Linked DNA regions of Rhinolophus ferrumequinum. The protein of the gene in region 4 purifies or fractionates together with the protein of the main gene of each other region. This does not show direct contact. Links are inferred from orthologs where the notes say so. Each region holds a gene or a part of one and is shown on either strand. Other genes may lie near its edges. The genes, in order: FBXL5, FBXL15, GLMN and CUL1.

Region 1 (7,867 bases), on a different chromosome or scaffold from region 4:
ATAAAAGACTTATTTTTCCACCCTAGCTCCCAAAGGACATACTAGGAGATATTTCCATTACCTAGTAGTATCAAGAAGAAATCCGGATGTAGAATTCCTTTGCAGTTGTTTTTTTTTTCTTCTTCCCTAAATCACCTTGGTCTCTGATCCACAGTTCAGAAAATTGGACTCTTAATCTTCTTGATGAATATATACAAAATCTCATTAACTACATCTAATTAGTTCAGATTTAGTGATAATTCTCCCTTATGCTATGTCAAATTGAAAATGCTTCCTAGTTAATGCGAGAGGAAACATTTAACTACTGAAAATAATCTTATTTGACTCCAATATTGTTTTTTAAAACAGCACTGTATTTTCAAAACTTGTTCGAATGTTCTCAATCACCAGGTAATGACATACGGAATTAGTGATCAGCTTCTTCAAAATTTACAATAAGGCTGGTTGGTGAGTCTAGTACATAACTAAATAAAAGTTGCGATTCTTAACTATTGTGGTAGAAAATCAATCATTTGGAAATCTAATGAAAATCACAAACCTCCTAGGGAAAAATTTCCATAACAATTTCAGGTGGTCCCCAGACTATCTCTTGCCAAATCTAAAATGGAGAGAAGACTTCAGATTCCAGTAGTCCTCACTAATTTTCCCATTTTGATTTTGAGAAAACAAAAAACCACCCAATTTTTTTCTTTGCTGCAATTAAAGGATACTGTCAGAATAACTAAGTTCAAAAGCCAGAGAACTATTATAAAAACACTACAGTAAACTACAAAAATTCGGGGTTATTCAGCTTAACTAATGGGTTACCCATTCTCGATGCTTCTCCTGGATAAGTGATTCTCACCCTTGACTGCACACTGGACTCATCCAGGGAGTTTTAAATTACACAATCATGTGCCCTTTAACAATGGGGATACGTTCTGAGAAATTCATCATTAAGCGATTTCGTTGTGCAAACATCGAAGAGGGTACTTAAACGTAGATACACCATCCAAGTATAGCCTACTCCACACCTAGGCTATATGGTATACCCCATGACTCCTAGTCTACAAGCCTGTTTTTGTATTAAATACAAGATTAAATCAAGCACAAGAGAAAATAATGCCACCAAGAGAAATGTGGCGTAACATGACATACCGTTTTACAGAAGATTTTTTTATAAGTAGAAAAAGTACACTCCAAAATAACGATACAAAGCATAGTAAATACATAAACCAGTAACACAGTAGATTATTATCAAGTATTATGTACTGTACAGGATTGTATGTGCTATACTTTTATTCAACTGGCAGTGCAAGTGGTTTGTTTAAATTAGCATCATCACCACAAACGAGTGAATAGTGCACTGGGGACAACAGCTATGTCACTAGGCAATAGGAATTTTTCAGCTCCACTATAATCTTACGGGACTAAGGTTGTATATGCTGTTCCCAGTTGACCGAAAAGTTGTTATGCAGCGCGTGAACTGTACTTGATGCCTGGGTCCCACCCTTAGAGATCCTGATTTTAGTGGTTTTCCGGCATCAGGATTTTGGACAGCTTTTGGGGTGATTCTAACTAGGAACCAAGGTTAAGAACCACTGTCCTAGAATGCCGTGTTTAAACCTGTATATGAACCAGGTATTTTTTAATTTTCAAAATGGAGGAAGGGAAAGGATAGTTGTGGGTGCGTTTTACATTGTTGGTTTTGAGTGTAGCCTGTAACAATGAACACACCGGCCATCCTCCAACCACCTCAATGGGCTGTAGGAACCTCTCGTCTCTTAACAGTGGTTCTGCTTAATGCTATCTACTTTCTGAAAATTCATTGAAGTTTAATTCTGTGCTTAAACTATAGTTATTTAAATGTTTTTTATTTGGTTCATTTCTACACGAAACAGAACTGCCTGAAGTTTTCAGGCTATCCATATGGACTTTCCCCAACATAAATTGACAAAAATGTGAAATCTTCATATTGTTTTAGAATCATCAGCAAAAGGCCCTGAACTATGTCCACAAAAGTGCTTTTTCAGCTTACGTTGCACCAATTAAGAATCCAAAAAGGTTATGACAGTTAAACCAACTTTTTCTGAGGCCCCTTTTATTCGAGCCCACATAAGGAATTCCCACGGAGAACAGATGTCTTATAACAAAATCTGCATGGAGTATATGCTCAGGACAGTAAAAGTTGCAAGGATAAAAAATAACCACAAAGGAAGAGTGAAGATTCGCTAGTTCCTACACCAAGAAACCTGGGTTTTCTCCCAAATCAAACCAGTAAAAAGCTGGGGCATAAAATAAGCTAGAGGTAGTTCCTTCCCCTTCGGCCAGAAGGCAAGCTAGAGGTTCAGAAGGATAGATGGGAATTGCAAAAAGACTTAGGGAGACCCCAAACCGGCCGTGGGTAGGGCAGGGGGCACTGGTGATGGAGGAGGCGGGGAACAACTGCGGAAACGGCCTTACCCCGGCGGATGGAAAGCCCACCGCAGGTGACGACCGACCTGGAGTCCCCGAAGGTCAGTGGAGAGCGAAGGTGCCCCTCTCCCGAAGGGGGCACCAGCTGGAGCCCCAGCGTGCCTGCGAGAAGCCGACCCCGAGGGCGACGGGTGCTAGGCCCCCCCGGCTGGGAGGGCCGCGCCGCCAGCCCCGAGGGCACGTCGGAGGCTGGCGGCCGGACGGGGATGCGGGCTCCCCGGGGAAAGTGTGGGATAGAGAGCGCGGCGCTGACAGCTACGCAGGCGGCAATTCGTGCGGCGCGGTCCCGGGGGCTGCGGCAGTGGCGCAGGCCTGGCCGCCCAGGAACCCGGCCGGCTCCTCCTCTCCGCCCGCGCCGCCCAGAGCAAGAGGCCCCGCACACCGTTACCTTGTCACAGTAGAGTCCCACCAGCTGCTTCATCCGCCAGTGTGGGGCGGTGAACACGTCCACTTCTTCGGGGAAGGGCGCCATCGCCGCTGCCTCAGCCTCCGCCTCAGCAGCCGCGGCCGCCGCCTCTCCATAGACACCCTCGCCGCGGGGCAGAGGCGGCGCGCCCCCCTGCGCATGCGCCCGCCCCGTCGGCGCGCGCGCCCGGGCTGCCGGGCCAGTCGGGACGCGGGGACGCGCGGGCCGCCGCCATGCGGTCCCCGCGACCCACGTGACCCGGTGCGCGGCGGCTGGTCGCACTGGCGTCTCCCGCCTCCACTATTTTCATTCTTTGGCTTCTTCTTGTGCGGCAGAAAGAAACCAAGTCTTTTACCTGTTTGTTTTGCAACGTAAAACACATTATCTGAGGAGACGGGGTGTCGTTTTAGGGGCGCTCTCAGGGCTTTTCTCGGTGCCGATACACCCACCAGGCCTTGAGGCCGAGGCGGCGGAGCACAATGCCCGCAGTCGGGCGGAGAGCTTTACCTGGGCGCTGTGGACCCAGACGCCCCGTGTGCCAGGGGGACTGTGCTGTGCGTGACTGAGGCCCCCCTGAGCCGCCCTTTGCCTCCCTGAGATTCCCGGGTGTTGGGCTCCCACCCGCTGGTCAAAGGCCCCAGTGATTGGTGAACTAGGACTGGGGGCTCCAAGAACTTGCCGCCTACCGGGAAACAGCGACGCGTGACAAAGACGGACACTGGCGGCTCCAGCCGGCAGCTCTAGCTGGCAGCTCTGGGCAGACGCCAGGGTCTGGGTCTGGGGACAGGGCGGAAACCAAGGAGACCAACATCTCCAACCGTTTCTGGGGCGAAGGGCTGCATGCAATTCTGGAGACTCCAAGGAGAGAAAAAAACGTCTCCTGGGTATTAAGGAGGCGGGAAGGCACCCCAAGGCCTGCAATGCCAGGTTAAGGATGGGGGTTGGGGGGTGAATAATCACAGGTTAGTACCGGAAAGAACCTTGGTACACGTGCCTCCATTTTAAGCAGGCTCAGAGAGAAAGAAGGATACTTAAAGAGATCACACTGCCAAGAGGAAGTTCAATTAGGTCGCTTCCCCACAGGTCACCTGGTCCCTAACCCAGCCCTCCATGAGACCTAGGGAGCCCTTGTGATGGACACCACTCACCCTGATCAACCCCCACTGGCTGGACTAATATACACAAAGAAATGGGAGAAAACAGGGAAGTCTGAGAACCTGGGTAGGATTACTTGCTTAATGTTCCTGCTTAATCGTGAGGTAAGAGTGAAGAAATAAAATGGAGTCACTATTGTCAAGCTACCAATTTACTAAAATCAAGTGGGCTGAGGCAGGAAACATTCTATTTTTGTTTTAACTAGCCTGGGAACTTAAACTTTTGAACCCTCCCGTTATGCCTTGAGCTACACACACACACACACACACACACACACACACACACACACCCCTCAGAGATACTGCAGGTTTGTATCCAGTGCACCATAAGAAAGCGAATATTGCAATAAAGTGAGAAATAATCTTTTTGCTGTTGGAGGGTCTTGCCTTCAGCTTGTAAAAAATGCAACATCTGTGAAGTACAATAAAGCGAAGCACAATAAAACAAGGTAGGAGTGTGTGTGTGTGTGTGTGTGTGTGTGTGTGTGTGTGTATCCCATAGATGACCCTCTGATTACCCCATGAAGGACTTAGAAAAGGATGTTCACTGTCCAGACCACCTGACATCCATTATTCAGACCAGACATCTGGAAGATTACAATGTGGGACCAATCCAGAAGCTAAGCACGCAGGACTGATTCTTCTCAAGAATGTACTTTTTACTATAAGAACTCAGTAAGAACTCAGCTTTTCTTTCTTCTTCAGAAGATACTTCTTCAGCAATACTCTAGGTGTTGCTTAGTTGTGTTGCTGGTTTGCAAACCCCAAGACCTTCGAATAAATCTTTGCTATTTATTTCTAGCCAGAGCCTCCTGACTCTTTGTGCTCAGTTGACAGTGGCCATAAATTCCAGGAGGGCAAGAACCAAATATGTTGTTTACCCCTTATATCCACATTGCCTATCACAGTTCCATGACACCATAGGGGTTTGATAAATATCCAATAAATGATGGAGTAGAAGAAGATGAGAAAGAACCTTGCAATAGAGTGTGTCTGTTTATTTCTAATCTTACTGTGTGCCATTTATTGACGGACAATATGAGCCGTAGTTAAAAGCAGGCTCTGGAGATGAAGTTAGACTTCTGGTTTAGCCTGATACACTTATATGACCTTCAGTAAGCTACATGACTTACCTGTGCCTCAGTTTCCTCATATATAAAATGGAGGTAATACTGCTATATACTAAATGTTTGTGTCCCCCTCAAGTTCTTATGTTCAAAGTTACCCCCTCCATATGATGGGGTTAGGAAGTGGGACTTTGGGAAGTGATTAGGATTAGATCAGGTCATGAAGGTAGACCCCTAATGATGGATGGTTTTTGTAAGAGTCACTGGAGAGCTCGCTTCCCTCGTCTATTCTTCACCATGTGAGGTCATAAGGAGGAATCTGCTGTCTGCAGCCCTGAAGAGGGCCCTTACCATGCTGGTACCCTGATCTTAGATTTCCAATGATTATTTGAAATAAATTCAGTTTTTATAAGCCATCTAGACTATGGTATTTTTGTTATAGCAGTCTGAGCAACAGAATTGTTGTGACGATTAAGAATGAATATATTTGAACTGCTTATAAGAGTACCTGACAAGTGATGTCTGTAAACTATTATTAAAAAACAAACAAACAAAAAACACGTCTGTGAGGTGGTGCTGTAGGAAACTAAATCTTGAAGACATTCTGGTAATTTCCTAGGGTCCAACAAACTACTAAATAAGCGGGCCATATGAATCTAGGTTCAACAATATCCTCCCAGCACTGTGTTAGTTGTGTGAGAGACAGAGATGAGGATTTACACACAGAAATAATGCTTAATAGAATATAGATAAAGTCCTTAATCTCTCTATCTCTCTCTCTCTCTTCTCCCCTATTCTCCTTTCTTCTCACACTCTGCTCTTTCACTAGGGCTTTGCCTCAATGTTTTATAATATCCCCCAGAGGACATTTCCTTATTTTCCCTTTATTTCTTTCTTTCATTCTGATCTTTCACTCCAGCTGTCTTAGAATGTAGAATCAGACCTCAGGTGGTCCAATTATATAGAGAAATGAACTCCGTGGGAACATGTACTTTGTTTTATCCTCAGCATTTAGAACAATGCCTATCAACAGTTACCACTCCATATTAGTTGAATAAAGAAAGAAGGAATGAGGGCAGTTCATGGCATTCTATAATTTCCTAATTTTAACTAACTTTTAATACACCATGTTTTATTTCCCAATACCAGTCTGTGTCTGTGTTGTCTGTGTCTAGTGTACCCCCTAGAACCAGGCACATTAAATAGGTATTTAACAACAAAAAAAGCCATGCACACAGTTTCAGTGTTACTTAAAATCTGAATCTGTGTAGTCAGCTGAACAGTAATAACAGCCACGTTGGACTCTGGCCATTTCAGGGAATTTGTTTAAGATGACAAAATTAAATAAAGTGATAAATAATAAGTCCTGTGGGTCATTCTTCCCTTCGAAAGAAGCTGTTAATATTAGCTCCATATGCTGAGTAATGTAGCAATTAATAACCTGATATATCCAGATAAATGATTGGTTTACATTAAACGTTAGCCCCAGAAAGAAGACATTGATCAGTTTAGTATCATTATTGTAGGTTACTGCAACTACAGCAGATCAGGAACTGTTATTAAGGCCAAGGTTATCGGTTTAATTACCTCTCTGATTTCTTATGCTATACAACAGCAAAGGAATCCTAGCAGGCCATCTAACTATTGGCCACCACAAGGAGACTGGATAAGGCATTTGAACAGAGCAGTGAAAAATCCACATTGTATGATGCCTAGTGGATTGATGGCTCCTTCTTTCCTGCTTTCATTCTCTCTGAAAAACTGCATGCTACAGGGAAAAACAAAAGATGCCAAATCATTCCCTTGTGACCTAAAAATATGACATGAGGCCTCTTTTCCAACCCTAGTTTCAGGGCTGTGGAAAGGGTTGCTGGTCAGGGAAAGTCAATTCTAAGGCATTTAACTCTGTTTATTTGAGTAGTGCTACAGCACTTTCCCCAACAGGGGGTTAGTTGTGAAAACAAGCAATGAAAGAATGTTGCTATTGTAAAACAGTTGGAATTCCAGTCCTAACTCAGTACCAGACTTGATCCTGAGTCAGTCAAAATAGCCAATCAGCAACTGCTACAGCAGGGCTAGCTTGATCTAGCAGTAAAGTTTTTAGTAGGGTGATGGCATCATAAAAAGAAAAAATACGCGTAGGCACTGAGTTAAAATGCAATGCCAGATGCTACGTGCCTTTTTTTTTTTTTTCATTTTCCTTTAGGGTACTTTATATGCAAATGGACCTCTGAAAATCAAATATATGTAGGCCTGCAGTTTGCCTAAATCCCTTACTTTATTTTTATAAATTTAAATACTGAAAATATAATAAAACTTACTTTTGCACAATGACCAAAAAATTGAAAACATCTAATGTCCCTCAATAGGATACTAGATATTAAATTATAGCACATTCATTCAATGGACAAATATGCATCTGGTAAAATACATAAGATAAATCTGTTTACTGTGAAACTAAGTATTACTAAGTGTAAAAAAATAATGTATAGAACACTTTGTTAAATATGCTCTCATTTGTGTTAAAAAAAAAAGTGGACATATTTCTAGAATAACACAGCAGAAAATTGTGAGCAGGGGTTCCGGGATGGAAAGCAGAACCATCCCAGTACCGTGTACTTAAATATGGTACAATTTTAGTATTTTACTATGTTCACCTAGTGCTCTTACAGTTATAAAAATTCATTAATAATAATACATTTTAAAAGAATTTGGGCCATAAATTTTAAATCTTTAAAAATTCTATTAAAGGAAAATAATGTTTGATTATATATAATCATTAGCAA
Region 2 (6,495 bases), on a different chromosome or scaffold from region 4:
GAGTTGGGTTTGCTAGGGGTGTTGAATGGATACGAGTATCTTCTGGTTTCTGCTACTCACTGCCTGATTCCCCGACAGGCCCCCAAGAAGCTAATCCGATACATTGACAACCAGGTAGTGAGCACCAAGGGGGAGCGATTCAAAGATGTGCGGAACCCTGAGGCCGAGGAGATGAAGGCCACATACATCAACCTCAAGCCAGCCAGAAAATACCGCTTCCATTGAGGTGTTCGCCGGACTCTGCTAGAGCCTTCTAGGCTCAGATCCCAGAGGGATGCAGGAGCCCTACACCCCCCCACAGGGCCCGCCCTAACTCCTGATCCCTTCTCTTACCTCCTTGCCCCACAGTGTTAACCTCCTCTTGGAGCTGCACAGTAAAGGTGGCCCCAGAAGATGAGTGCATTCTGGTCATTTCTGCTTCAGAGCTGGGGTGTTGGGGGACTGTGTCTGTCTGACCTTCTCTCCCAACCTCACATCCCCTATCTCCAATAGGGCAGCAGCGCCAGGCAGGAGGGGGTAAAAAGCTCTTTATTTGAAGCTCCAGGGTGGGGCAGGGCTTTGGCCTTTCACCAGAGGCCCCCACAATCCAGTTTCCCTGCAGTTCATAGTCAGGCCCCGTCACACAGTCCAGCTGTGCCCCATCCGCGGGCGGATCAGACCTGCAGGTTGACAAAGGGTGCAAAGCCCGCCATATCCTGCAGGAGCACTAGGGCCTGATGCAGCGGCGGCTCCACGTCGATGTCCACCCCGCGCTTCCGCAAGCGGCTCAAGCTGGGCTCCGCCACATGGTGGCAGTGCCGCACCCGCAGCGAGCGCAGTGCTGGGCAGTACTCGGCCAATGTCCTGGGGGAGGAGCGGGGTAAGACTAAGGGCATGAAACCGCTCCACCCACGGTGAGCAAGCCAGCAAAGCCCGTCTCCCTCCATCTCAGGGCATACTTTTTTCTTCCATACGCGACGGAGGGATCTGGAATGGGGTCATACACTCAATGCCTCCAGTGAAACGGAGATTTACTGTCCCTTAAATGGGGAGCTGCTGCTCCCCTGGTTGAAGAAAAGCCAGAAATCTGACTTTGTACGTGAATACTGCCAATGTGTAAATACTGGTTCAAAAAAGTTTTTAAACTATGGGCTCTCTGGTGTAGACAATCCTAGAGGTCTTTCCTGTTCAGAATGGGGGTGCCATGGTAGCAGGAAGCTCCAGAAACCGCAGTTCTACCGCTTGCCCCTCCACCCAGAGGCTAAGTGCTTGCTCTCCTCCCATCCCACCGACCCCAGGCCCAGGCACCTGACGCCGTCGCTTCCAACGCGGAGGCAGCCGGTTAGGTCGAGGTGCTCGAGTTCCGGGCAGTTCCGAGCCAACTCCTGGACCGCGGCGTCCCCCACATTGGCGTTGACTGCCAGCGAGAGGCTGCGGAGGCCTGCGCCGCGCCTCTGCGCCAGGTACACGATGGCCTCATCCTTGAGCTGACGGCAGGCGGTGAGGTCCAGCTCCTCAAGGGCCGGACAGCGGTCGGCGAGACCACGCAGCGCCAGCCCGTCTACCCAGTCACAGTGCGCGAGCGACAGGCGCCGCAGGTTAGGGCAGCCCTCCGCCAGCGCCCCCAGCGCGCGGCGGCTCAGTTGCCCGCAGCCGGCCAGCGCCACACTCCGCAACTGCGGGTTCCGCGCCAGCACCGGCACCAGGTCCTCGTCGGACAGCCATTCGTGACACGGCGCCAGCGCCAGCTCCTGCAGCCCCTTCGCGTCCCGCAGCATCCAGGCCAATGCGGCCCGCGGGATCTGCGGACCCACCTGCGGGCGGGCAGGCACCTCGACTCTCAGCTGGTCCCGGGGCGGGCGCTGCCTATCCACCCCTGAGGAGTTCTTTCCTAGCAGCAGCCTGCCCTCGGGGACCCTCCACCTGCCCTCCCAGGATAGACCCTACGTGCCCTCCGAATTGATACCCAGTACTCGCCCCTTAGAGTGCTTCCCACTGGGTGGAGCTCTTCCTGGGCATTCCTGGAGACCCAAAGGGGTCGGGCAGAGTAGACAGAGGGGCTGGGGGCTGGGCTGGAGGCGGGGGCAGTACCCGGCTCACCTGAGCGGCGTCGAAGCGGCGCAGCCTCTCCAGGTACAGCTGCACTAGGGCCCGGAAGGCTCGGCTGACGCGCTGCAGCCGGAGCAGCTGGCACAGCGGTACCCGGCTCAGTACGTGTGGGAGCAGCACGTCTTCCCAGGGCAGGTCCAGGAGCCTGCGGGAAAAGGGGCGTTGGCGGCGGCGTCCCTTGGCCGCTGTTACCTGCGAGTCTGCCTCCGTTATGCTCCTGCGCCTCGGTTGCTAGGAGCGGCCTCCAGGCTCGGCCCTGGTTCAGTTCCCCTTTTTCAGGTCCTTCCTTCTCTCGGCCCCTCCGGTGCTCGGTACCTGACGGCTCCGGGCTCTCGCTCCCCTCCGGACGGCTCCATCCGTGGCTCCATCGGCTGTCTATTGCGCGTGCGTAGTACGGTCTTCACGCTTTGGCCTAGGAGCAGCCGCCGCGAACCCGCCTCCTTGGGCTGTAGTGACAGACCGATTTAATCGAGTGCCGTCTCACTGAGGATCCTATCTGAAAGGATGGATCCTGAAATTAAGGGCGGAACAGACCGGTGGTGTAACATTAGATCTCGCCTTCTCCGCTGCAGAGCTTGAGAGCCGAGGCTAGAGAATGCGACGGTGCAGCACAGACAGGCTTCTTTTTTCGTTTTGGGCCAGTGATTGTCTCTGAGTCAAGTGGTGATGGGAGGAGCAGGCAAGGCCAAACGCAGAAGGGGCGGAGCTAGGACTCCAAGGTTCTGGGCCTACCCCTCTGCCCTCTGGTCGCTTTTACTGACTTTGAAAAAAGGGGAGGAACTATGCAGCCTCTTACTGTCTGGCACGTAGTAGGTGCTCGATTAATTGTTGAATTAATTGAATGGGCGAAGCTGCAATTTTTCTTACTTCATCAAGCAACTTGCCCAAACCTCCCATTTCTAGTTAATTGTGAAGTACAGAGCTATCCAGCCCCTTCCGCTACCGGATGATTAGGAACGGATTTACACCTTGCGGGTAGAAACGTAGGGGGCCCTAAAGGGCTGTATCTCCAGCCGGGTTTCTTTCCTTCCCCAGGAGGTCTAGAGTCCAGAGAAGAACGCATGCTCAGCCTTCCAAGAGTACTGCTTCTCGGTTGGCCTGGGGGTTTAGTTGTGGGGTCTGGTTCTGGGCCACCCTGGGGCAGTGACACCCCAAAGCTCTGAGCGCAGATTCTGCGCCGCCCTCTCACCGCGTGCCCAGGTCTTGGTTCCTGGGTCCAATCCGGGGGAGGAACCCCTAGAGCACTGCTATCTCCATCCATCGGTGGCCACGGTGTGAAGGATGCCTAGAGCTACTGCTGTCGCAGAAAGCTGGCTCCCAGCAAGGTTGAGCTCTCCCTTGGTGCAACCGCTTCACCTGCCTCTTCATAACGAAAACTGCTTCCCATTCATTATCAGGGCTTCCGGCACCTCTGCAAGGTGGGCAGGTCTGTGCTGTCACTCCACTTTACAGATGAAATCAAAACCCTGGAGAGGAAGCGCCTTGTCCAGGGCCAAGCGAGTCGGGATAGAGAACTCAGGTATCCTGGTTTTCCCAGAATTCTTTCCAAATTCCCCCGTGCCCCAATGCAGCGAGAAGAGAGAAGCCAGCAGCAAGGAAGGACCAAAGAGGGTCAACTTGGTTGAGGGACTTGCTCCTTCTTCCTCAGCCTGCTAGGGGAAGGGATAGCTGGAAGGATCGACCTCTGCTAAGAGCCACGTGGGCGCGCACCACCTCGGGCCGCGCGCCTTCTCCCCCTCCCCTGCTTTGTTAGCGCCTCTGCGCCTGCGCAGTGCGACAAATCTGGCGCTGTCCCCTTCAGCACCACGCGGAGCCCGCGCCGCCCCTCCCCGCGGTGAGCCCCGTGCGCCCCCGCCTCGCACGTACCTCGAGCCCCCTCCCCCCCGACCAGACCCCTTCTTCCTTCCGAGGTCACCATCTGCTTGCCATAGCTTTCCCAAGGAGAGCAGTTGCCATAGTGACTCTAGCGGCGCTTTCTTAAAATAATCGGGCCCCCTTTTACCTTGGCCAAGGGCACAAGGGTTGCCTGTCCCCCACTTCCTCCAGTCCCAGCCTCATCCCGCGTAACCTCTTACCCTCAGACGGGCGGGACACCTAACTCAGGCAGCAAGGAAGTTCTTCCTGAAGTCTGACTAATATCCCACCTATGGTCAGGGTTGAGTGTCCTGGGTCCAAGACTCAGAACCTGGAGGCTTTGAGGCAGTGTTCCCTAAATCTCTCTCCCATAAATTGATGCTCTTCTGGATTTAGGGGATGGGTCCGGTCTACACCCATACCGTGTGCTTGGCGCGGCCGTGTGCTCGTGGGGGCGGGAGCGCCTTGTGGCATGTAACAGGTCATGTGGCAACCTCCTAGGGACACGCGTGGGGTCTGCAGCGGGACACGCGTGAGCAACTGGGTCCTGTGTGTGGCTCACGGGGCGGTGGGCGAAAGGGACGTGGACACGATTGGGGTGGGGCACGTGAAGATCCTGGGAACATAATCAGGGGCTCCATATGTCCTCCCCTTCGTCAGGGGCAGGTCTCAGGTTGGCGCGAGAGCCCAGCGGGGACCTAACGTCGAGAGGGGGGGCAGCCTCCGGGGCCCAAGGCCCTGGGAGAGGCCGGGGGTGGGGGGTGGGGGTGGGATTAGCTCTGCGGGAGCCGCGCGTAGGGGGGAGGAGGAGGGACTCAGAGGCGGGCGGGCCTGGAGAAAGCGGGAGCAAGCGGGAGCCGCGCTGTCTTCACAGCTGAGCCTGGCCCAGCCTCTCCTTTGCCTCCTCGGCCCCAGCTCCAGGCGAGCAGCGGTGAGTACTGAGGCGGCTCGAGTCCGGGCTGCACTGGGGATACGCTGGGCCCCAATGAAGCTTCAGGAATCTGTCTGGGTTGCTGCCCCTGACCTCTGCCCCTACCCTGCATTGCCACCAGAAGCCCCTTTACCCCTTTATGGTCCCTCCTGGTCTGGACAAGATCTGTTATACCCTTGGCGGGGGGAGGGGAAGAGGAGGAGAGTGGTCTGGTGCAGCTTCCCCCTCCAGAGGCCAGAGACTGGTGGGGGTTGGGGGAAAGGGTGTGTGTCCCTGCTTAAGTATGTGTGTAAATGTGCATCTGTGTTTGTGTGTGATTGTTACCAGTAGGTCTCTGTATCTGATATGCCTGTGTGTCTGTGCATGAGAGAATGAAGGCTTGTGTGTATATTTGGGTATCTCTTTGTGTGTTCCTCCTGTTTGATGACAGTGTGTGTGTAAAACAAGCATGTGCCTTTCCATTACAGGCATATTTGTTATGACCATGAGAGTGTATGAGGGTGTGTCTTTGAGCAATGTGTGTGTGTGCCTGTGTCTGTGTGCGCTGGAAGGTGTAACCTGTGAATATGTTTAACTGTATACTGACATATTTGTCCCTAAGCATGTGTGTGTGCGTGATTATGTGTACCTGTATGGAGAACAAGAGTGTCCCTTTCCTATTCAGCATGTATGTATTAGGGGTAGTGACCTCTGTTTAGGCCTTTTTCCTCCCCTTCACCCTATGCCTCTCAGCTCCTCATGGTCCCTATATAATCCCTCTTCTTTCCTCTCCTTCCAGGGGGCCTGAATTGGGGCCTCCAAGAGAGGGACTGTGGGGGACTCATGGCTGTATGATAGTGATGGATGGCTGACACTCTTGGTTCAGAGGGCGGGGTACTTGCCTTCCCCCTCCTCCACCAAAAGTAACTCCAAAATGCCACAGGGACTCTGGGCTCACTCAACTTCTGAAATCGCTTCCTCTGTCCTCCCGGAGTGATGCTCAGGGTCCCCAGGCAGAAGGAGAGGATCCAGGGTCCTGTTAGGGGGGACAGTTCGTTTCTCCTCAGGCCTCCATGGAAGAAGCCTAAGCAGGAGGCCTGATCACCCCCAGGGCTGGTACCAATGATGACATATTCTCAGAGTGGGCTAGTCCCCTAGTGCTCAACAGCCCCAGCTGGCTTTCCCCTCCTCTCTGCTCTCCTGCCCATCCAACTCCCCAGCAGTTCACTCCCTGCTCCCCTTCCTCTCTTGCAGACCTGTCTGAAGAGCATGCTGCCCCCTCACTCCCCGCCTGGCCTCGCCATCCCTGCCCCCCCAGCCTGACCCCCGGCCCCAGCATGGCCCAGGGTGCCATGCGCTTCTGCTCGGAAGGCGACTGTGCCATCTCCCCGCCACGATGCCCGCGCCGATGGCTCCCCGAAGGCCCCGTGCCCCAGAGCCCCCCAGCCAGCATGTATGGCAGCACAGGCTCCCTGCTACGACGGGTGGCAGGTCCCCGAGGCCGGGAACTGGGACGTGTGACAGCACCCTGTACGCCCCTGCGTGCCCCCCCCTCACCCCGTGTTGCTCCCCCACCCTTGGCACCCTCTTCACCCACTGGGCAGCCCCCTCCAGGGGCCCGGAGCTCCGTGGTCATATTCCGC
Region 3 (8,009 bases), on a different chromosome or scaffold from region 4:
CTTCTCTTCTTAGGTAGCCGTTTTCTGTTTGGGATGTTTCTACCCTCTCAGAGGCTAGAAACCTAGCCATCTTTGATGTCTCACTCTCTCTCACCCCCACAATCAATGAGTTCCCTCTATTCTACTCTAAACCTTCCATGCAAGTGCTACATCGTGCTCACTGGAGGCAGAGCCGAGTGGATAAAAGTTCTAAAACCGAACTGCACAGGTCTGAATCCTGGATGCCGCATAAAATCTGTTACTTTTGGGCAAGTCACTTATCTTTCAGCGCCTGTTTCCTTATCTACAAAATGAATTTAACAGTAGTACATCATGGGATTCTGGAGAGGCTACATGAGTTAACAGATGTAAAGCACTTAAGACAGTATCTGACACATAGTAAATACTCAATAAATATTAGCTATTATTAATTTTATTATTACTAGCTAAAAGTAAGGTACTTTGAAAGGTTATCCTCTGAGAATGCAATTGGAAAAAATCAAGGAATTAAAGAAAACATTAAATTTACTTTATTTTGGGCTACAAAGGTACCATAAACACACCAAAAACAAATGTATTAAACAAATGTCCTAATTTTTCTAAAAATATTTTCTTAAATAAAAAAGGGATTGGCCCTTTAAACTACTAAGAGAATTTACAACAATGTGTGATTTAAAAGTTTTAGTAATTTCCCAAACACAATAAAGGTATCCTGGATATAATCACTGACCAGCACGTCTAGATTGTGATAGCAAGAAAGAAAACTTCTGTAGAAATAAATAGCACCATAAAGGAAGAAAAAGTGTGTCCTGGAAAAGAAGATGCTCCTCCTTTGTACAAGAAGCGGAGTCCAAAGACACAAAATTTGGCAGTGTTGCCAACATGTTTCTGAGAAAAAGCTGTTTCTGATCCTCAAAAGATCCTTTCCCATCGCAGAGAATGATTTATCAGACATTCGTAGCTGGATCATATTGGCCAAGTCATTCAGCTTTCCCGTTCTGATTTTATCTACTCAAAATATTATATACCCAAAATGTTATCTTACTTAATATTTGGTTTTCTATATACTTCTGGCTGGAGGAACAGAATGTGCAATCACCAAAAATTAATACCTAGCCTGCCTGATACTTATATTTCTCAAGGTAAATTCGTGACCCAAATGCTACTTGTGATGGTTCAACCAGATGTAATCCCTGCTCTCCTAAAGCACTTTACTTATACTTCAACTATAGCACTTATTTTATTCATTCTGCCTCCTTAATGCTAGTTGTTTACATGTTTGTCTCTTCCACCAGACTGTGAGTACCTTAAAGTATATAGTCCCAATTCCTTTTTTGTTTCTAGTTTCCTCCTGTGGAAATTTAAGTTAGTTGATTCTTAAATGTTTGATGGATAATGAATGGATGAATAATAGCATCGTGTGGATATTCTCTTCCAGGTAAAGGCTGAAAAGTTTGCACAAAGATTATACTTACCTTATTCTTTTCATTCTGAATAATTTCTAATAGCTGGTCTATGTGCCCTTCATCTATGCATCTTTGTCCTGCTAACTGAAATAGACCAAAATCTTCTTCTTTGAAGTCTCGCTCTTCTAGGATTTGCTGGCAAACAAACAAACAAAAACCAAACATGTTTAGGCAAATAAAAATTCAATAATGACTTGATATATTTTCTCTCTGAAAAAAAGGAAATCTGTTTAAATTGTAGGTAAGTTACACATAAACATACGTATGAAAATTAGGATTAGCCTAATAAATACTTTAGTGAATGATCCTGAAATCCACTATATCAAAGAAACCTTTAATAAGGATTAAGATTAAAAATTTTAAAGGTTATTTAGAAAAGTATGTCATTTGGAGAAATAACCCAATTGCCTTCCTGCCCTATCACTATTTATACATAGGTCAAAAAAAGCAAGGATTAAAGAAGATAAACAATTCGAGTGACTACAAATATAATTAAAAATAATCTATGCCCTTCTCATATTTTGAAAGATATTTAACTTTACAAAAAGAAAAATTACTTACACATCTCTTTATTACGGATTGAAGTTCCTCCACAGCCATTCCTCCTTATTTTTCCTAGCTTTGAGACTGAAATGTACTAACATAAAACACAGTTAACTATCAGAAATATTACATTTAAGTATTAATAAGTGATATTTCATTCTGATGAATTTTTAAATACAATAAAGAAAATGTAGTTTTAATGCTGAAATGCTACTACTAAAAGTAGTCTGTTAACCTAAGAAAAGTTTATTTAAAAAAAAACTATTGCACCTTTTCAAGTTTTCTTAAACACAGCTTTGCTTAGTGTAGTTTTGAAAGATACATCCGAAAATAAAAACCTCTAGAGCACTCCCAAAAGGACGGCAAATAGGGACTACACAAAGTGCATTGAAAAGGCAAAGTGTTTCATTTCTGAAAACATTTCCAAAAGGTGGGCCTAAAATCAATTCTAATCAACAGGGAATTTCTCATTTTTTAATGTCCTACTTGACAAAAATTGAAGTCAACACAACTCACCCAGAATGGGTGGAAGTTCAGATGCCCTCCAGCCCCTGTGTGACCAGGACATTTCCCTTAAGAAATGAAGTACCCAAAATAATCAATCCAGTCAGTGAGATCAACCGGCGGCGCTCAGGAGAACCCCGTTCCATTCCCGCTGGCCATCGTTTCTCCCAGCTTGAAGGCCCGGCACCAGCTCCGCAGGAAGGGCGCGCGGGTCCGGGGGTCCTCACCGCAGCGCGCTCCAGGGCGGACAAAACCCCAGCGCGCGTGCGGGCGGCATCCAAGGGAAGCCATTTCTCCTGATTCCTGCTAGTCGTGGCGCTCGGGCCTCACCACTTCGCCGGGCCTAATCGGCCGGCGGCACCGCATCCTCCGCGGCTCAAGGCCCGCCGCGAGCCCCCGCCGTCCGGGACCTCCCGCTGCGTCCACTTACCCGCCAGGACTCTTGCCCCTTTCAGCGTCCTCCTCCACCTCCTCTTCTGGCCGCGTAGGCCGCTCTCCGAGCCCCGCCCCACTCCGGTCGGCCCCGCCCCGCGCTGCGCAAGGGGAGGCGGAGCCTCAGGGGGAAACTCTAGGGTCGGACGCGATAGTCGGACGACGCTCTCCATGGCTGAGTCGGCCTGGCAACCCTCCGCGGGCCGCAAGGCTGGGGCCCCGCGCCCCCGCCGAAACGCCGCAGGTAGGCAAAAGAGCCTCTTTCCACGTTTTGACCCCGAGAACTGAGCCCCTACAGGGTTCTAGATTAAGGCGCGCGGGGTGCTCCCGAAAAGCTTTCTCGGGGGTGGAGGTCTTCGGGGACGGAGAAGGCCAAGAGCTTCCCACCGCCGTCCTCGCGCCCCCTGGGAAAGACCTTCGGCCGAACCCCCAAATCTTTACACTAGCGTTCCAAGATTTTCCCCCAGATGGCCTCTGAGGGAAAGGACAGTAGAGTTCCTGGAAGCCTAGAGCTGGAGTCGCCAGAATGGGCAAGTGAGCAGGGCGGCATCAGCCAGCGGTGTGCGGCTGCCGGTGAACCTCCCATCGGTCCTTCCATTTGTCCTGCGGCTTTGGTGCCCCTGTTCTCTGAGGTATTGGAGAATCACCTCCCTTCTTGCCAGGGAGTGAACATTTGAGGGCCGGAGAGAGGCTTCCCCTAAAAGTACCCAGATTTCAGATTTTTCACGAGTGCTTAAGTATGCATCTATGATACAGGAGAAAATTCAATCCCGAAGGAGATACATGTTAACCAGGAAAAATTTGGGAATAATTAATTTACAAAAACAAATTGGATTCCCTTCCCATTTCATTTTAAATATGTGGAAAAGAAGAAAAGATGATATACAGTTTATTTGGGCAGGAATCTGTTCTATAACCTAATGTGTGCAGACTTGACTAACTTTGTTTTTTAATTTTAGGTACTAAACAGACAGGTGCTTTGAAACAGCAAGATGCTTCTAAAAGGTATGAAAACTACTTGGACAACTGCATTCACTTAGCTGTTTATCTCATATTAATTGAACCATTTTTAAAAACAATAATGGGTGCTACCTTAGAGAAATTTATTATGAGAAGGGGAAGATCTGAAAGCACTATAAATTCTCACATAGACAGTTATATCCCCCTACTCCATGCTTTAAGAAAACCAAATCAGACATTTTTAGGTTGCTGGTGAAGGTGTATGAGTATCTGTAGAAAGGTGTACATGGGAATAGACGTTCCTGAATTAACCAAGTACTCTTTTTCCACCTCTTTGTATACTCCTTTTTTTGCTTTATGTGTTAGAGACTCCAAGAAGCCTTGTCTGTCCCATGTTTGTATCATGTCCAAATTTTCAACAAGAAGTTGTCCTGTATTGTCTCTTGGCTTCTAAAAAGACAAGATTTATCTTCTGTCACAAAATGTTTCTAGAGTAGGAGTAGTCTGAGATGATTAAAAAATACATACCTGTGATACATCATTTTATGAAGTGTTGGCTTTGTCTTAATTCAATTAATCTTTCAAAAATATTTACTGAGTGTAAGATATACCAGACTTGTATTAGGCCCCAAGGATATGGTTTTGAACAGAATAGACATAGTTAACTAGTTGAACAGAGAAATACCAATTAAATTATCAAAAATAGATATATAATTACAAATTGTAATAAGTGCTGTAAAGGAGGAGGAGTAACAGGAGTCCAGGTTAGCTGGAGTTTTGTGGGTTTTTAGGGAAGGACTTTTGAGAACAGAATAAGCTGAGTCCTGAAGGCTAAGTAGACATTAATCAAAGAGTAGTAAGGAGAGACCTATAGTCAGAAGTGGGAGTACGTGTGACAAGAAAGGCACGGTCATTTAAAGAAAGCAGAGATGCCCAGGATGATGTGCCAGCATTCTGAGCAAGGGAAGTAAGGAGCATAGGAAAAGGTTAGAGAGGCAGGATTCCATTCATATAGACCTAATAGGCAATGGTGAGAAATTTAGATTTTCTAAGTGCAAATGGAAAAACTTTAAGTAATAAAGTAATGGAATTTAAGTTTAAAAAGTTTTAAGGTGTTAGGGGAGGTGATCATCTGGGAATGGAGAAATTGGATGAATTGGAGATCTGTTTTGGAAAGTACAGGCATACCTGGGAGGTAGTACGTGTTCAGTTTCAGACCACCACAATAGAGTGAGTTTAGTTAATATTGATAATGATGGTAATTTGCAACTTTCTTCAACACTGATCTGACCACAAACCTGAAGAGATTATATTTTATTTTGAGCAGATCATTCAAGATGATGAAACAATTAAAAATCCATGGGGTAACCAAATAGTTGTTGAGGGAAACGATCCTTTATAAATTTATTCCAATTGCAAAATACTTCTATATTCAATCCAAATGAATAGTTTTAAGCCAGAAATTAAAGAACTTTGCAAAAATATAAAATAATTCCACTATTCACACTAAATATTTTATTTTAATTTTTTATTGGGGAATATTGGGGAACAGTGTGTTTCTCCAGGGCCCATCAGCTCCAAGTCGTTGTCCTTCAATCTAGTTGTGGAGGGTGCAGCTCATTGGCCCATGTGGGAATCGAATCAGCAACCCTGTTCAGAGCTCGCACTCTAACCAACTGAGCCATCTAGCCGCCCCGACACTAAATTTTTATTTCAAAATGTTAACATGTAAATTGTATATTATTATTAAATGAATTAATAAATAAATGGTTTAAAATTTTCTCACTTTTAATCCTACTGTGGTAAATATAATGTACATAAGCAAAAGCTCGAATTTTAAAAGTACCAGGTCTGCCAGTTAAGTTCGCGAACTTGCCACTATGCACTTACATTGGCAGCATTGTACAAAGAGCTCAGTAAGGTTTCATAACTTTAGTATATCAGTGTCTCACAGCTGTGTTCATGTCGACGTGTGGCGGTGTCTTGCTAAGTGGCATTCATTATTGTTGTTGCATGTTTTTGTGTGCCATCTCGCGAATGTCTGTGCTTGAATTAGAGCAATGAACAAACATTAAATTTCTCGTTAAATTTGGAAAGAGTGGAAGTGAAATCAGGGACATGTTAGTCGAAGTTTATGGGGATAATGCTATGAAGAAAATTGCAGTGTACAAATGGATTAAATGTTTTTCTGAGGGGAGAGAACGCGTCACTGATGAAGAGAGATCAAGGCGGCTAGTAATGAGCAGAACTGATGAAAATATTGCAAAAGTTCATCAAATTGTGCATCAAAATTGTCAGGTGACTGAGAAGCATAGCAGACCAAGTAAACATCGATAGAGAAACAGGAAAATCTTAACTGAAAATCTTGGCATGAGAAAGGTGTGTATAAAAATGGTCCCAAAGGAGCTCACCAATGAACAAAAGCAAAGGAGAGTCGATGTTTGCCAAGACCTTTTGGAGAGGCAAGACGATGCTTTAAGCCGTGGTATCACTGGTGATGAAACATGGGTGTACCAATACGACCCTGAAGCAAAGCGTCAAAGTGCACAGTGAAAGTCAGCCAATTCTCCATGACCAAAAAAGTTCCGTCAGTCCAAATCAAGAGTCAAAATGATGTTGCTAACCTTTTTTGATATCAGAGAGATTATTCATTATGAATTTGTACCAATTGGACAAACAGTTAATCAAGTTTACTATTTGGATGTGCTGAAAAGGCGGGTGAAAAAGTTAGACGAAAACAACCTGAACTTTTCGCCGACAATTCATGGTTCTTGCATCACGACAATGCACTAGCTCACACAGCACTGTCTGTGAGGAAGTTTTTAGCCAGTAAACAAAAAACTGTATTGGAACACCCTCCCTACTCACCTGATCTGGCCCCTAGTGATTTCTTTCTTTACCTGAAGATAAAAGAAATATTGAAAGAAGCCATTTTGATGACATTCAGGACATCAAGGGTAATATGACAACAGCTCTGATGGCCATTCCAGAAAAAGAGTTCCAAAATTGCTTTGAAGGGTGGACTAGGAGCTGGTGTCGGTGCCTAGCTTCCCAAGGGGAATCCTTTGAAGGTGACTAGTGATATTCAGCTATAAGGTATGTAGTAATTTTTCTAGGATGAGTTCGCGAACTGAATTATCAGATTTTATATAAAGGAATTCTGAGACCAAAAAGTTTGAAAACCGCTGCTGTATACCACACTACCTATTCATTTCAGACATCGTTTCAGACAGAGGGCAGCTGTGAGACAGGGCTATCCATAGGAAGCAGCTGTAGGTATCCATCAGTTAAGAGGAATGTGGCTGTTATTAACTCTTCAATCAGCAATCCTAATGCAGGTTGTACACTGATCTTAGTATATGACATAGCTTTTATTGGTAGGCAGCAAAATGAGAAAAATTTTTATAAAGTTAAATATAGTCAACATAAAGAACTGCCTTTTAGTGTGTTCATGCCTTGTACTTCTTTGATATAAGCATGGCCTTTATGGGAGAACAGGTGTTAGTTATAAATTTATTCTTGTTTTAATGTCCCTCTTTGTTCCTATTTGGCAATCCTGTGTCAGTCCTCCAAATTGTTTTTGTAAAACATTGCTCCAGGCAAGGAATTGGCTTGAAGGTTTTAGAAGTCAGTGAAGGTAGGGAGAAAAGGTGTGTACCTTCTAGGTTGAGATATGAGTACCAAGTCAAGGTGCAAGAGGCCAGCAAAGGTTGTTCTAGTAGGCAAGTAGAAACCACTGCAGACAAGGAGGAAATACATCACCAAGATAGTTGGTATCTGTGGTCCTATGGCAGTGATTTTCAACCCTGTTTCACACTAAGATTATCTGGAGAACTTTCAAGAAAACACCAATAACCAGGCCCCATACTCAGAGATTCTGGTTTAATGAGCCTGCAATGGGACCTGTGCATAGTATCTTTTTCTAAAAATCTCATCAGATGGTTCTAATATACAGCAAGGATTGAGAACCACTGTCCTAGGGCCATTGTTTGATCTGGTAGGCTGTGCTTTTTGTGTTCTATAATGTATGAGGCAAGCAAAGGCTGACAGAGACCCATTGGTGCCAGGCAAGGACCCACCCTCCTAGGAAGATTGCTGTTTTTCTAAACCACAGTCATATCAGTA
Region 4 (7,491 bases):
AAAAAGAGCTCGGTCTTTTTCTTAAAAAATAGACAAAATCTACACCTTAAAACCAGCTGGGGGTTAGCAAATTCAAGTTTTAAAACTTGTTTTCTTGGCACTTTCCTGGATTGCAACAGCTCAAGAAAACCTGAGCGTTTTTTCTGTTGGGGCCCTCTATTGGATACTGGAACACTACAATAAGAATTATAATAAAACTTGCCTCTTTTTTGTTTTTCTTTTCTTATTCTTTAAAGCTTGCATTCTTTATTAACCAGTGTAAGTGCAGTGATTATTCTCTGCAGCCAAAATCAGAAGTGGTCAAACATTAGGTTGGAATTTTTCCAGAAGATTTACTCCTTCAAAAAACAACTGAGTTACCCATGACCAAGTCCTATGCTACTTTGGGGATGCAAAAATAACTAAGGACGATCCCCTCCCTTCGAGGAACTCATAGTCTGAAATGCACGGGAGACAATTAAGACACAAGATAACATTCAGTAAGAGGCAGAGGAGTCCAAGAAGCTGTAATAGCTAAGGAAATTGCAGTATCAGCTCAGGCATTCATTTGTCCCTTGGTCCTCTTGATACTTTATCTGATAGTACATTAGGAGAGGAGGGGCATGCTTGCAAGGACCTGAGCTTGTGATCTTACACAAGGAGGGTGGATTTCATAAATTAGCTAAAAGTTCTAGTATAGTTAAAGTCTTTTTTTTCCTTTGGCAAAATAGTTTTTAAAAGATTACACCAATGAGAAAAAAAAAGTTGAAACATTTTTAGAGAATAATTCAGCCAACCTTCTTAAGCTTAATGAGCACTCCTGAAACCTCCAAAAATGGTCATAATAGAATTAAAGGGAGCCAGTCCTGTGTTTGCAGCTTCGGAATGTGAAATGTGATGCAACGATGTCCAATTGCCATAGAAAGCAGAAACAGAACTTTCAAGTAAAATTTTTTCTAATATCCAAGAACCTTTTTTAACAAACAAAAAATCTCATATCCTATTTTTTTCTAAACCCAATGATTGCTCTTGCTTTTTAATCATTCTCCTTTGCTACACAACACACAAACTCTCCAGGGTTTCAGAAAGTCAGATGGACAGGGTGGCCACAAAAGGGAATGTTACACTTAAGATTGCACACCCATCTGCTGAGTGTAAAGATATGTTTAGGTCCTAGAAGCTCAGGGCTTAAAGTAAAAGTGACTTTAGTTCCCCTCTGTCACCCAATAAGTGCCTTTCAAAAACAGCGTGACCATTTACTCGACTAACTTGGACTGTTTTAATGTCACCCGGGGAAGACCCATTACACAGAGCAAATAAATACCTAAGTTAACTGCAATTCCGTATTTGCACGCTAACCACTAACCCCAATTACGAACTAAAAGCAACAGCAGCCATCCAATCGGAAAACAGAATCCTATTTTCGGCACAGGGATCGCTAGAGAGAAAACCCTTAACTTTGGAGATTCGTCTCCAGGAACGCTCATAAAGCATGTGCCTTTCTCTTGACCATCATCGTGTCTACAGTGCGCCGCGCTCCCCAGGTGGCAGAGAGCGCCCCGGGGCCGCGCGCGGGTTACCTGCTGGGTCAGCGCGCGCTCCCGCCGGGCGCAGGTTCGGGGGCGCGCCGAAGCCGCGGCGCGGGCCCGGCCCGACGCGCGAGCGCCGGGGGGCTCCGTCCGGTCCCGCGGCTGCACTCGCATCCCTGCGCGCCTACCCGGCCCGTTCCCCCGAGGGAACGGAGCAAAACGACGACTATTACCCAATAATAGTGACCTGCACAGTCGCAACAATGCAGGCGGGGAACCGAGAGCCGCGGGCAGGGAACCGGAAAGCAGAGCGGCCGGCTCCGCGGCTCCCCCGGCGCGTGAGCCCACTACTTATTGGCGAGCACGAGTCGGGGGAAACGCGACGCTCGGGGGGGAAGCGATCCCGAGGGGAAAGGGCACGAGGCCCCGTGGGGGTCGCCGCACGAGGGGAGGCGAGGCGCGCATGGCCGAACTGCCCAGCGCCGCCCGCCGGCCCAGCTCTGCAGCCCCAGCCCGGTCGCGGTGGGGAAAGAGGCTGGCGCCACAAGGCCGCCGGCGCCGGCGCGATGAATCGGGCTTTTTCCCAGTGCGTAGTCCAGGCCTGGCCGCCCCGAGCCCGCGTCCGGGGCCGCGGCCCGGCCAGGCCCGAGCCGGCCGCCGTGACTCAGGGCCGGCCCCGCTCGCTCGGCTCCCGCCCCCAGCGTCCTCCGCCCACGAGTCCCCCTGCCCGGCCGCCATTCCGCCCCGCCGCGGCTCGGCGACTCAGGCCTCGCCCGGCGCCTGGGCTCGGCCGCCGCGGCCCCAGTCACTGCGACACCGCGGCTCCGGGCCGGGCCTGCGCCGCCCCTCTCCTCGGCCCCGGCGCCGCGACACTCACCCGCATGTCCCTGCTGCCGTAATGGCCCCGGCGACGTCTCCACCTGGTCGCTGGGCCTGGGCCCCGGTTAAATCCCCGTCCCGCCAAGGTCTGGCTGCGTCCCTGAGCCGCCGGGGCTGCCCCGCCTGGAGCTGCGTGCGACACGGCTCCCGCCTCCTCCTCCTCCCCTGCCCGCCCGCGGCCCTCCTCCCGCCGCCGCCGCCTGCACCGCGCAACCTCCGCCCTCTCGCCTTTCCTCCCCGGCTCCCCGCCCTCCCGGCCTCACCGGCTCCGGCTACCGTGGGGGAGAGGCTGGGGGGGGAGGGCCGGAACGCACCGCCATCGGCGTCCGGGGCGGGGGAGCCGGGAAACCGTCGCCGCCATCTCCCCACCAGCCCGAGCGCGGGAGGGGCCCGGAAACCTCCCGCCCGCCGCGGCCACTGCCCCGGGGTCCCCCGTCCCGCGCCGCCCGAGGCTCCGCTCGCCTGGGGGATCTCTACCTGAAAGCCGGGGCCCCTTGCCCGGAACCCCGCGCCGTCCCGGGCCGGGCGGACCGGGTCCTCCTCCAGGTTTTACAGCCTCCCTCGACAGCGGGCCGCCTCTTAACGACCGGCTTCCCGCCACTTCCGACCCAACGAGGAGGGGTCACCGCTTTAGGTTCGGGACACGGACCTCTGGAGAAAGTGGCCCAGTACACCCCGAAGGAGAGGGTCCTCCACCTCCTCCTGCGCACACACACACACCCGGAACCGACTTGGAACACGGCTACAACTACACCCAATCAACGTGCCTCCCCGGACCGGGACTATTACCAAAGAATATCCCCGGCTGGCTGATGAGACCGGCGGAGATGGGCAAGTGGCTCTGAAAAGCAGGCGCAGACGTCGGAGAAGCGTGTAGTCCGCTCTGGAGCCCCTGTTCACCTGAGGCCTTAGCCATCAGCACCTGAAAGCCTGAGCTTTTCTGAGCCTCATTCTCGCTCCTTAGAATCGGTTCTAAGATAAAACTATACGACGCTTCCCGCTTCAAACTTGAACCAACTCTTTGGGGGGGGAGGGGGCAAATGTTGACAAAGAATCACTTTACCATTACTCTTTGTAAAGACAAATCAAGGATAGAATTTAAGCATTTACATAAAAGGATGGCATGAGGTGTGACTAAAACACTATCTTTTCCACGTGTAGTCTGAAGTAGTTAATTGCATTCACTTGAAATTGAACTGTCACCGTTGGGGACTTGGAATACTCTAAATACAGACTTTGGCAGCACCTGGCTTGCTACGGTGCCAGAGAGAAAGCATGGGCCTTGGAGTACCATGGTTCACAACATGCCAGAGAGCTGGCTAATTGCATGAACAAGCAAGGAAGGATTTCAAATGATCCTATCTGGGCAAAAGACACGATGAGTGGAACTTCCTCTAGTTTAGTTTTGCTCTAAACTAAAACAGTACAGATATTCTGGTACACCTTGGGGTAGCAATCCTAGGCCCTGAGCAGAGGGCCACCCCCAGAGTCCAGTTTCCTGAGTCACATGGGCTTCTCTTAGGAGACATGTCCCACCAGTATATGTGGTTCCTCCTATTGAAATGTGGCCTATTGTCAACATCTGTTAAATATCTTCAGAAGTGTTGCGTTGTCTGCACTTGTCACCAAAGTATGTAATCTCAGTCTGTGCAAGGATGTACAATTCTTGGTTTATATCCTATACTTCTATACAACCTAGTCAAAAGAAAATTTAGATGTATTGAAACAACTTTGTTTATGGGCACATGGTAAGACTAGATTGAAGGTAAAAATGGAAGACTTGTTCCTGTGGACAGCGCTTTCCACAGAACATATATGGCTTTTTTTATATCTTCATTTCTTCGCCTATTGGAACCTGTGCTTTCCTCAGACAACAACTTACCTCCATCTTCCCTAACCTGTCTTCTCCACTCTCATCATTCAATATGGTCTCCCTGTCTGTGACTTCCCACAGTTAATACACTAGTTGAGTGGGTCAGCGTTCCCTTTACTATTTCTTTCCGCCACCTTCTATTTTTGCCTAATGGCAGTATTTAGTCCACTTGTGCCTCCACTTCTCACCACCTCAATTCCTGGTTCTTAACGTCCTTATATCCCCTCCTCTCCACCCGTCTACATCATCATTCTTAGCAATTAGACTGTTCCACTGACTTTTATGCACTTCACAGCCAGGTTGCATCTACACTACTTCCACTCTGGGCGGATACTCTTGCCTCGTACCTGATGGATCCAGGGCATCTACTTTCCGCTGCAAAACCTCTTCCCTCCATCTTTCTCCGCCATCATAGCAAAACTGATGTCCCTTTTTAAGATGACCACAGTTAGGAGGGATCATTAATTTGATAGATGTCAGAATCAAAATGCAAAATAGTCTCAGATTAGACTATTTAGCCAAAACCAGTGAAATAATAGAACTTTACAAGTCCCAAATGATATGATGAAGTTCAAAAAGCCAAGTTTTAGATTTAGGCAGACTTTGTTTTATACTCAGACTCAAACTACTATCTTTTGCTCTAGTAACTGTTAAATAGGGATAAAAAGATCTACCTCCTAAGTGAAGAGTAATTCCTTTATAATTCCAGCATAATTTCTGAAAACTCACTGTTAGTTCCCTTTCTTTCCTCACCTACCATTAAGTGGTGGTCCACTGACTCCCCTACTGCTATTGATAACACTAACATTTTCTAAGTCATAAGGGCCTGAAGACTCCAAATCCTGACCCACTGACCTTGCATCCCAGAGCTAGTCCCCATCATAGAGAAGTCTTTTATTTTGTCTCAGTCTGGGTGGCAGACATCATCACACCCATTTTCCAATGAGAAAAACCTAAGACTTGGAGATGTTAGACAATGTGCTCCAAATCACTCAGCTTGGTCAGTGACATCACCTGACTCCCAAATCGGCATATATCCACTCCTGTACTATGATATTTCCCCACACCTATATTGTTTCTTTAACCTTCTGAGTAGTTTTCCTGGTTCTGATCTCTGCCCTTCCAGCCGCCTGTGCAGTGACTGACTGCAGATGGTTCTTTCCAGTGACCTTCATCATTGTATCTTTGTCCTTTGAAACTTTTCAGTGGCTCCCCATTGTTTACAGGGTTCAGTCCAAACTCTGACTTGGCACTACCATAATAATCTTGTCCTAACTTACTTTCCCCAATTTATTTCCAGCCACTTTCCAAAAGGATCTCTCAACTTCATCTAGGTCTATTGGGCCTACATTTGGCCTACAGATAACGGCTTTGGATCGCCACTTATGAGTGCTTGCTGACATTGGTTCCCCTAACAGAAATAGTTCCCTCCTCCTTTCCTGCATCCGCAAATCATGCTCCTTTTTCCAAATCCAGCTCATGACCCCTCCTAGGAAGCCCACTTTGCACCTTCTACCCAGGTTTTGTGATCTCTCCCTGAGTACCAGCTTCTCCTACGTGCCTTCTATGTGCCTCCTGAAGTTGCCTTCTGCGGATCTGTGCTTTGGGCCAGGCACTATTTCCTAAAGTACACCAGACCCCTCGGCATTGTGCCTGAAGAACACTGAAGAGTGTCCAAACATATGTGTTTACCAATGAAGTGAAAGGGTACTGCGTCACTTGACTAGCCATATGAGCTGTTATTTCTAAGACATGAGTAAGGAACTAGCTATCCCGTGCAAAGTAAATTCATTTGATGCGATAGTTCCCAAACCTGTCTTTGCTTCAGAATCACCTGGGGACTTGAATTCTGATTCCAAGGCCCATTCCAGATGTACTGAGTCAAAATTGGGTGGGAAGGGGTGGGGAGGAAACCTGAAACTGCCAGAGTTTATATCCTGGTTTTACTATTTATTACCTGGGTAACTGAGCAAGTTACTTAATGTCTCAGTGCCTCAGTTTCTTCATCTATAAAATGGGGATGATAATAGTATCTCATATGCTGTTGCAAATTAAATACTTAATAAACATTGTGAAGATGATGATGGTGATGATATAATTACCCAAGGTCAGTCTGGTGACCTGAGTTTGGGAACCATTGATTTAATGAACCACTCCTTCTGTTAAAGTTTTAAATGTTATGGCCTTAAAACTTATGGTATTAGCATTATGACATATTACAATAAGACTTATTTGTTTTGAAATAGTGTATGTTAAGGAAGAGGATCCAAGTAAACAGATTTTTCAATTAAATTTGTTTTTTTAATCCAAATCATGCAATATATATTATGCGGGATTTTTTTTTTGCAAAACTAGTTTCTCTTAGAAAAATAACTACACATATGCTATAACTATACAGAGTCATTCACAGCTTAGTATTCAAAAGATGCAGGCAAGAGATGAAATAATACCATGATTTCTTTCACTTAGGACAATGAGTCATAAATTCTTTTTGAAGGAGCAGGTTTTTAAATCCTCTACTTGAATTCGTTAGAAAAAACTTTCAAAGCTCCTTTTGGTCCATCAAATGCCAAATAAACAATATTTTAATGATGTTAAATGTAACTAGATATAAAATAGGAAGCAGAAATTTACTTACCAAAGTCACTAAATATGTATCGATGGGGAACAGAGAATGGGTAGCCCCACCTTCTGAACTCTTGATTTATAAATGGCCTATACAAACAAATACAGAAAGGGCTTGTTTTTAACAGCTTGAAATTAACCAGATTCCCTGTATTCTCTCTTAAAGACCCAAATAGCTCTGGGAGGGTAAACAGGGCTTAAGTGTCATTTACACATCAGCATTAACTAATTCAGTCAGGTTGCCTGCTTTCTAACACAAATCAGCTCTTAAAGAATGGAGAGTTTGGGGTAATTCAAGTTGGGGAGAACCCTGAGGACCTCAGGGGAGGCACCGGCCTTGGTTGGGTCAGAGGATGTAAGGAGCAGAGCAGTTAGCAAAGGAAGGGAATGAGGGAAGAAGAGGGAACGATTTAAAAATCTAATCTGTCCAGTTTCAGATTTTGCATATTGAGAAGTCATAAGCCTCTTGCTTTGGGGACCCATAAGACAGAAAACACTGTTCTAAGATAGTCATGAATTAATGAAGCTTTTGAGGTCTGCCCTGGGCGATCTGCACACCCTTGTAATGTTCTATTAGGTTGGACCATATGGAATTGCAACTGACTT

What was found.
Region 1: the proteins of CUL1 (region 4) and FBXL5 purify together in Homo sapiens (affinity purification with western blotting; 11 studies listed by BioGRID and IntAct, counting the BioPlex papers as one, with this or other methods). This does not show direct contact. The link is inferred for Rhinolophus ferrumequinum from reciprocal best matches to the Homo sapiens genes CUL1 and FBXL5.
Region 2: the proteins of CUL1 (region 4) and FBXL15 purify together in Homo sapiens (affinity purification with mass spectrometry; 9 studies listed by BioGRID and IntAct, counting the BioPlex papers as one, with this or other methods). This does not show direct contact. The link is inferred for Rhinolophus ferrumequinum from reciprocal best matches to the Homo sapiens genes CUL1 and FBXL15.
Region 3: the proteins of CUL1 (region 4) and GLMN purify together in Homo sapiens (affinity purification with western blotting; 4 studies listed by BioGRID and IntAct, counting the BioPlex papers as one, with this or other methods). This does not show direct contact. The link is inferred for Rhinolophus ferrumequinum from reciprocal best matches to the Homo sapiens genes CUL1 and GLMN.

The regions. Positions count from the first base shown.
Region 1 is NC_046288.1:78,682,119-78,689,985, reverse strand, and holds the start of FBXL5 (F-box/LRR-repeat protein 5), read right to left. Parts: upstream 3,020-7,867; 5' UTR 2,927-3,019; coding exon 2,843-2,926; intron 1-2,842.
Region 2 is NC_046299.1:22,595,784-22,602,278, forward strand, and holds FBXL15 (F-box/LRR-repeat protein 15), read right to left. Parts: upstream 2,594-6,495; 5' UTR 2,457-2,593; coding exon 2,404-2,456; intron 2,234-2,403; coding exon 2,080-2,233; intron 1,794-2,079; coding exon 1,288-1,793; intron 844-1,287; coding exon 654-843; 3' UTR 510-653; downstream 1-509. Other genes in the region: CUEDC2 (CUE domain-containing protein 2), read left to right, coding at 79-225; PSD (PH and SEC7 domain-containing protein 1), read left to right, coding at 3,370-3,607, 4,817-4,873, 6,107-6,495. UniProt on the Homo sapiens protein: Substrate recognition component of a SCF (SKP1-CUL1-F-box protein) E3 ubiquitin-protein ligase complex which mediates the ubiquitination and subsequent proteasomal degradation of SMURF1, thereby acting as a positive regulator of the BMP signaling pathway.
Region 3 is NC_046292.1:69,720,785-69,728,793, forward strand, and holds the start of GLMN (glomulin), read right to left. Parts: upstream 3,006-8,009; 5' UTR 2,578-3,005; exon of another isoform or gene 2,505-2,577; intron 2,083-2,504; 5' UTR 2,046-2,082; coding exon 2,007-2,045; intron 1,581-2,006; coding exon 1,455-1,580; intron 1-1,454. Other genes in the region: putative RNA polymerase II subunit B1 CTD phosphatase RPAP2, read left to right, coding at 3,096-3,168, 3,884-3,929.
Region 4 is NC_046309.1:4,750,925-4,758,415, forward strand, and holds the start of CUL1 (cullin-1), read right to left. Parts: upstream 3,007-7,491; 5' UTR 2,865-3,006; intron 2,761-2,864; exon of another isoform or gene 2,651-2,760; intron 2,550-2,650; exon of another isoform or gene 2,386-2,549; intron 1-2,385. UniProt on the Homo sapiens protein: Core component of multiple cullin-RING-based SCF (SKP1-CUL1-F-box protein) E3 ubiquitin-protein ligase complexes, which mediate the ubiquitination of proteins involved in cell cycle progression, signal transduction and transcription.